Linked DNA regions of Caenorhabditis elegans. The protein of the gene in region 1 purifies or fractionates together with the protein of each later gene. This does not show direct contact. Each region holds a gene or a part of one and is shown on either strand. Other genes may lie near its edges.

Evidence for each region.
Region 2: the proteins of C50E3.12 (region 1) and Y51H7C.3 fractionate together in Caenorhabditis elegans (co-fractionation; one large-scale study listed by BioGRID). This does not show direct contact.

What each region holds. Positions count from the first base shown.
Region 1 is NC_003283.11:7,619,875-7,623,890, forward strand, and holds C50E3.12 (uncharacterized protein), read right to left. Parts: upstream 2,188-4,016; 5' UTR 2,156-2,187; coding exon 2,117-2,155; intron 2,060-2,116; coding exon 1,958-2,059; intron 1,897-1,957; coding exon 1,792-1,896; intron 1,738-1,791; coding exon 1,639-1,737; intron 1,586-1,638; coding exon 782-1,585; 3' UTR 630-781; downstream 1-629. Other genes in the region: C50E3.15 (C-type lectin domain-containing protein), read left to right, coding at 170-321, 415-475; C50E3.13 (uncharacterized protein), read right to left, coding at 2,652-3,569, 3,620-3,715.
Region 2 is NC_003280.10:1,436,576-1,440,522, reverse strand, and holds Y51H7C.3 (Lzipper-MIP1 domain-containing protein), read right to left. Parts: upstream 2,034-3,947; 5' UTR 2,014-2,033; coding exon 1,980-2,013; intron 1,408-1,979; coding exon 1,301-1,407; intron 1,254-1,300; coding exon 1,152-1,253; intron 1,103-1,151; coding exon 920-1,102; 3' UTR 826-919; downstream 1-825. Other genes in the region: Y51H7C.12 (Nucleotide-diphospho-sugar transferase domain-containing protein), read left to right, coding at 301-457; nol-6 (Nucleolar protein 6), read left to right, coding at 3,026-3,076, 3,129-3,239, 3,288-3,726, 3,792-3,883, 3,929-3,947.

The DNA.
Region 1 (4,016 bases):
AGGAAGATACTCAGTTTAGCGAGTTTTGGAAGTTATTTGGTCCGCTGAGCGTTTTTTCCTATAAAGGAGTGTTCATTTTTCAAAATTTCAAGTTTCTGCGTTGGATATGAAGAGTTTTATGGCTGAAATTAGAGCATTGTAAATTGTTAAACTTATTCAACTTTTTTAGGATTATGAATTCCAAGATGATACACTTCACTACAAAAGCGGCTACAAATGGAATACCGGTGAACCAAATGGATTGGGTGGCGAATATTGTCTACAGATGTACATTTTGCCAGACACATCTTCCGATTCCCATGGAAAAATTGATGACGTAGAGTATGTGGCTATTAATAATACAATTTCAGAATACGCAACTGGAACTTGCATTTTCCAATAATTGAACAAAAATATTGATTGAAGTAATTTCAGCTGCTCCATGATCGAAAACTACCCGAAATTTTTTGCGCTGTGTGGAATGAAAGCAAAATAAATTGAACTTTTCAATATCTGTTTGAATTATCCAACCAATAAAGTTGAATCAATGTCATATCATAACTTACTCCATTTAGAGATAATTATTTTAATTAATTTAAGATAATTTTATAAAGTGATAATTCTAATTTTTAAAAAAATATCTATGGTTTATTTTAAGTTGAATTTATTCAAAAATATTTGGTTAAATTTGAGAAATATTGACAAAAAGCAAACAGTGGGAAAATACAGAATAACTTTGAAAGTTAAAATAATCAATAAACTAATAAATTAACATATTTCACGATTATGGCAGTATATTAACTTAAAGTTTAGAGAGATAGTCATATGGTCGTTTTGTAGCATAACTTCCCGAATCGTCTCCGTCACTGTCACGGCGTGGCCGCTTGTATCCTCGATTGGATGGCCCTTCTTGATGATCATCAGCATATTCATCATCCTCTTCGTCCTCATAGTTGTCACTACTATTTTCTTCTAGATTTTCACCTTCATCGGGGGTCATTAAAGCACCGAGACCTTCCGGGTCTTCTGCTGGTGATGGTTGATCTCGTCTTAGATTATCAGGAGCATTTGCCCTACGATATCGTTGATTGGCAACCGCTTGAGGCGCGGCAATTTCTCTTACTTCTTGCTCAATTTGTTGAAGATCTCGTGATATGCGAGTCCGTTCATCACTGCGTTGCCTGTTCGATTCGTTTAAAGCGAGTAACATTCGACCGACATTTCCAAATGTTGGATTGGCCTGGTCTCTCAGATTTTGATTGAACTCTGTTCGAGCTTCGTTTTCTGTGTTATACGAGGTTACTAAGTTTTCTCTTAGTCTACGTGAGCGTGGACTAATTTCTAGAAGCCGCTGATTAAAACGACCCTGTGTTTCGTTGCGCTCTTGACTTCCAGGAGGAGCAGGATAGTCTCCCCTTTGTACTTCTTCTGTTTGGCGTTGCATTAGTTGATTGCTTTGCTCACATTTTTCGATTAGTAAGTTCGCCTGATTGATCTTGTTTTGTTCAGCTCTCTGATGTTCTTCGTTAGAATCAATCATGCTTTGTTGCCCTTGGGTATATACATCAATTTCAACTTGGTTTAATAATCGGTGTTCATACGGGTTCTGAAAAAGAAAATATGATTTTATTATGTTTTTAATGTTGCAATAATTTATACCTCTCCTCCCCGAGGTTGCTCCACATTTTGACGCTCCGGCTGACCATTGGCTACTTGTGGCAATGTTGGTTGGGCTGCATGTCGTCTGACATCCAAAGTCTGTAAAATTAAATGGTTTACTAACAATTATCTGAAATTCCAGCTTAGTTATACCTCATCCAAGTCTTGTAAATCGTCCACATTTAGCTGCGGACCTCCTGTGGCCACTGGACGATCTACTAATTGCTCTCGAAGATGTTCTGACCCTCCGACGTTTGGCTGAAATGTTTTAAACATAGGACTTATGAATTTATTGGATTTTTTTTCAAATTGTTCATACCTCTTCTGAACCATCTTCTGCATTTGACTGCCGTCCACTTTGCTCTTCCGCTGGCTCATCTTGTTCTTGTTCTTTTCCTTGAGTTGGTTCACCATTTGTCTTCTAAACATTCATGTTAATGCTTAATTTAATTTTTGAAACAGGAAAATTCAATCTTACCTCTTCGATATCAGCTGCAGACTCTCCAGACACATTCATCTCTTACAGTTAGTAGCGATTTGAGATGTAATCTGAAAATTTACAAATTTTGTTTAAAACTTAAAACGAAGTTAAAAGAGGGAAAACTGAAAATTGTCAAATTAAAATAGAAAAAAAATATAACTGACCAAAACAATCGATTATAGCGAGGGAAAGGAAGAATATTCGGAAAAGGACACCGGTAATTTTTCCGGGACAATTGTAGGTCAAACAACAACGGTCTTATGAATATTCGAGGGGAACCCCCTCCCGCGTTACAAAAAACATTAAAACATGCGTACATTGTAGATCAAAAAATTTCATATCATTTTTTATCGTTTTTTGTCAAAATTGCTATCGAAAATAAAGGTCGTAATCAATATTTAATCAATATTTACCTGAAATGAAATAAAATAAATAAGATACATCAAAGAAAATTGATATTAAAAAATAAACAGACTGGATTATAAAATAAAGATTTAAAATAAATTAGTATCAACTTGAGTTCATCATTATTTTAGCAACTTCTTCCAAGAGCCTGGGAAGATGTGGATGGAGCATTCCACATGCTTGCGCTGCTTCCCGATCCTCCTTCATCATCATCACGACGTGGTCGCTTGGGCCTCCAATTCGATGGACCTTCCTGATGATCAATCTCTGCTTCATCCTCTGATTCCTCTTCGTCACTCTGATACACAGTTCCTCCACTATCGTTCAAATCAGGATCATCAGCACCCAAGCCTTCTGTTCCACGCGGATTTAAATATTCTGCACGATTAGTTGATATTCCTCCGCCACCTATAACAGGGTTGACCACAAGACTCAGAAGCTCAAGAAGATCTGGTAATTCATCGACATGATGTTCATCTTCATCCTCAGAATCGTAATCTTCTTGGTTCGAAGGACCGGCCCGATTTGATGCACGTTCCCTGCGACGATCTTCTTCGGTACGTTGTCGAGTAGCTACTAAACGCTCATAGTCTCGAATCGCTTGTTCATGCGGCTCCCGTCGTCTTTCCCAGGAATTTGCGACACGGTTCAACCGATCATTCAGAGTTTCCATCCAAGTATTAACACTTTGATCTGTTGGATTTTTAAATCTTCTCAATCTCCAAATAAAGGTTTTTCGGGCGATTCGTTCCCTTTCATACAGTTCGGCCCGCGCCCTTCTCAGTAGAAGCACTCGGTTTTGCACAGTTCGGATAGCCAAATTTTCGGCAGCCTCGTCTTCGTAGTTTCTCCGATTTTCAAGAACATCTAGCCTTCCAAGATATCCAGCTCGACTTCTGAGTTCGTTTTCTTTTTGTAAGAGTTCCTCTCCAAGTGATTCTGTCATTCTAATTAGTTCCAGCTCCTGCCGATATTCATCTTCCAATTCTTCTAGTCGTGCTACTTCTGCTCCAATTTGAATAGTGGTGATCAGTTGACTGGGATTCTGAAAAATAAAATTTGGAAAAGTTGTTATATTTTTAGAATCAGTATTACCACTGCTATCAAGTATTCCAAATTTGGTGGAACTTGCAGGTTATCGGATGCGTTTGGAACTTGTGGTTGAATCGGTGGCTGCCTGGCAGTGAGATCCTGTAAAATAAAAAAAATAAGCCTGACTTCACCACTAATCAACCTTCAACTAGAAAATTGCACAAAATGAATCAAAAGCAGACATAAAAAACTTCCAGAACATTCTCCGAAAATCGAAAGAATCTCGTTCTTTTTGTTACGAAACATAAATCCTCTCAAAAGCTAAACCCACAAAGTTTAATTTTACTGAAGACAAAACGTTCAGCTTCGGTCAATTAAAAAACTGAAAGCCAGAAGTGTTATAAATTATTATTTCGTTTGCTTCTCCGATTTCAGAAAAAGTATAAATAAACAAAAAATC
Region 2 (3,947 bases), on another chromosome or scaffold:
ACAGACTACAGATTAATATTAGCTACAAGTTGTAAGTTGACAACTTTGTTCTAGCTCAACCCAGAAAAAAGTTACGACGGCCGACACCTTGCGGGCCATTTTTGGCGTTCTTGGCCCGTGAGACGTCGGTTGCCATAACTATTTTCTGGGTTGAGCTTAGCAAAACTTGTCAACTGGCAAATTGTAGCTAATATTATTCTGTACATATTTGCAGTCGACAATTGTCTGCCAAACCTTCTAGTTTCAGAGTTATGCTAGTTTTACTATTCTCCACCGAAAAAAAAAAGTTACGACTTTCAGAGAAACCATCAAAACAAGCTTTCAATCCCTAATTCGCCAGGATTGGTCCCTGGAAGAGAACTGGTTCGGCTCAGGCGTCTTCTTTTTGAGACACCTATTCAATGTGGATCCAGGACGGCGGAAAGTGTATTTAAAGGCGCATTATCATATTATTTAATTTATTAAAATCGTTTTTAAAGTCCCACAATGTTTTATTTCTATTAAAAATCATGATTTTGCCAAATTTATGTGGAAAAATGCCAAAAAAGCAGCAGTGGTCTGCTAAATATCATTTTGTAGTTTGTAGTCTAGCAGACCAAATTTTATTAGAAACTGGTTGGGACTGTTAAATATTTTTTGTAGTTTGTAGTCTAGCAGACCCAAATTTTTAGAAATTCGTTGGTCTGCTAATGTTTTTTTTGTAGTTTGTAGTCTAGCAGACCAAAATTTATCAGAAATTGGATTGGTCTGCTAAACATCATTTTGTAGTTTGTAGCCTAGCAGACCCATATCTTCTGCATTGCAACTCCACGAAAAATGTAGTTTGTAGTCATCTGTAAGCCTTCATTACTCTGAAAATCGCTTTTTACACAAATTTGACAAGAAAATTAAAAGTGCGAATAAAAATTAGTAGATCAAATTAGTACTTTTCGATAGATTTCTCTGATTTTTCCGATTTCTCGCCGAGTTTCGCAGAGCTTTGCCATTTTGCACGCTCCCCCTCTTCTTCGGCATATTGCTCGTGTTTTTGCTGAAAATCTCTCTTAGAGGTCTCCTTCGGCGTGCTCGAATCGATCGGAAGTCCACAATAATGATCGGTGACCTGAAAAATAACGTTTTTAATGCGAAAATCGATTTAAAAAGGTGCATACATTCGAGGAATCCGTGTTGAAGGACATATCGGTCGACGAGACGCTGACTGTTGACACGTGGCGAACTGGGAGCCCGTTGCGGAGCTCTTTGATCACTTTTTCCTGAAAAAATTGAATTAATCATGCTTAAACGCTCGAAAATAGCCAACTTTTTGTCTTCTGGTCTCTTCGAGCTCCATTTCCAAGAGGAAAGCCTTCTCTTCGAGGCGGTGCAGGTTCACTTCGAGACTTCGACGCTTTTTGGCTGCACGATCACCTGAAAAAGGGTAATTTTGAAGAAATTTAGGTCAAAAAAGCTTTATTTTAAGCGAAAATTGCCTATTTTTCAATGAAAAACGCTCTGGTCTGCTAAATATTCTTTGTAGTTTGTAGCCTGGCAGACCCACTGAATTTCGAGTTTTCTGGCGGTTTTTCATTGATATTAAAGTCCGGTTATTTGGAAAATGTTAGTTTTAGTGATTTTAAGGTGTTTTTAACTTAGTTAAAAGTCTAAAATCATTTAATTTGAGCGAAAATCGACTAAATTTCAAAGAAAGGACCGATTTTTATACGAATTTTAGCAAAAAAAAATGGAAAAAATCATTTAAAACTATCAATTTTGCACTTAAAATTAAGATTAAGTATAAAAATTAAATAAAAATTGCGAAAATGCATGTTTTAATAGGATTTTCCCGATAATGGTCTGCTAAATCGAATTGTGTAGTTTGTAGTCTAGCAGACCAAATCTCTTCACAATCCTATTGGTCTGCTAAATCGAACCTTGTAGTTTGTAGTGTAGCAGACCAAATGGAAAAATCTGATTTTTGGGGTTTTTAAGGTAAAACTCACGTTCAGAGCCGAGAATTGATGTCAGGAACTTCATTTTTGCGTCGCGGGAGCTTGCTGAAACAAATTTGAATGAACGGAAACGAGAAAACTGAGAGAAAATGGAGAACGAAACGAAAAGAATTAATTAAAATGATGGATAGCTTTGTGTGTGTGTGTGTGCGTATCGGTCCAAAAACAAGCCTATAAATTCAGTGAATTCGCATCTTTTTTCGCTTTTCTTTCTAGAAATAAATTCCAGCTGAATCGGCGAGAGGGAGAGAAGAAGAAACTACAGAATTTAAAATTCATCAGAGAATTCGAAAGAGTTTGTGATGAAAAGAAAACAAAAAATAACATTGGAAATTTCATGAATATTTGATGAAAATTCGTAGAAAACTGGAAAATTGATTTTTTGGAGGGAAATAATTTGAAATTCAAAGTTTGGCGGCAGCAGGCAGGTTGCGTACTTTTGCGTACTTGGCCTTTTAATTGACGAGCAATAAGGGGTACTGTAGGAACTTTTAAATTTGATTTTTAACATGTTTTTTCATAAAAAATTGTTTTTTAGCTCTAAAAATTTAGAAATATGATCGTTTCAAAGTTAAAAAAACATTTTAGACTTTATTTTCAAAAATTTATTTCGAAAACAGACGTTAAACACGTCTTAATCTGTGTTTTTCCCTGAAAAATGTCCCAAAACTCTGCAGTTTTTCATTTTAAATCCTTTTTTTGTGTTCTAATCTGTCATTTCCCTTGTTTTCCCCGTTTTCCACTCAATTTCTGCTTTTGAAACTCCGCCGAAAGCAGGCAAACGACACTCCGAAATCCCGCAGTAACGTGTTGTTTATCGTAAATCGACAGAGACACTCTATTTTATTTTTTGTTGATTTTAGCCTTAAATCTCGAGTTTTCAATGATTTTTTCTAGTTTTTGAATGTAATTTTGTGAAATTTAAATGAAAAACTGAATATTTGTCATTTCTAGTGTATAAATTGGTTTTCAAAATTGGTTTTAGCTTGAAAAATTGATTTTTGGGAGCAAAATACTAATAAATTCTATTTGCAGAGATGGAGACAGACGGAGATGTGCTCCCAATGTCGAACGCCTTCAAATTATTGGTAAATCCCAAAAAAATCGATTTTCAAGCAAAAAAATTGTTATATTTTTCAGTGCGAAGACACCGCTCCAAAATCCAACAAAAAACTCATCGAAAAGCAGCGTCAAATCGCTCAAAAAATAAAAAATGTGCTGGAAACCTCGAAGAATGGCCCGAAAATTCAGGTTTTCCCTTTAATTAGTGAAATTTTAGGCCAAAATTTGAATTTTCAGTACAAAAATCTCGATTTCTGGACAGAATTCGACGTTAAACATCCTCTGCATCATCTTCAAAAGGCTGTGGATGCCACGTCGTCGAGTATTCCGGAATTTCAGTGGACACCGCCGAAAAGCATCGTTATCACTGAAAAAGGGCAACAAATTTTCATTGAAATTCCGCCAAAAGCTCTCGGAAATCGCGATTTTCTCAATTTGACCTACGCGGCGAAGCGGGGACATTTCGCGTGCCACGTGGCGCGGCTTCTGAGCGGAAAATTCGAAAAAGTCGAGTTCACAGCCGGTGGAGCCCACAGAGATGACCCAATTTTCGCGGATATTCTTGTCGATGGAGTTCGAATTGGATTTTACTGCCCGGAGCTTGCGAAAACCAAGAGATTTGCTCCAAATATCGGAAATTTGAGGCCCGCCACCATTTTTGAGGATCTTTTTAAAGGTTTTTGTCTTTCTTTTGCAGGAAAAAGTGTAGTTTGTAGTCTAGAAACCTAATTTTTTTTCCAGAAACCGAAATCGCTACGCCAAAATTCAATCAACGAATGTTGTGGTCAATTCTCGAGTTGGAAATTGCTCAAGAGATGGAAAAGGAGCTTAAAGTACCCTTTTAAGCCAATTTTCCCCATTTAAAAGCTTAATTTCAGGCCCAAAAGACCGCCCGTC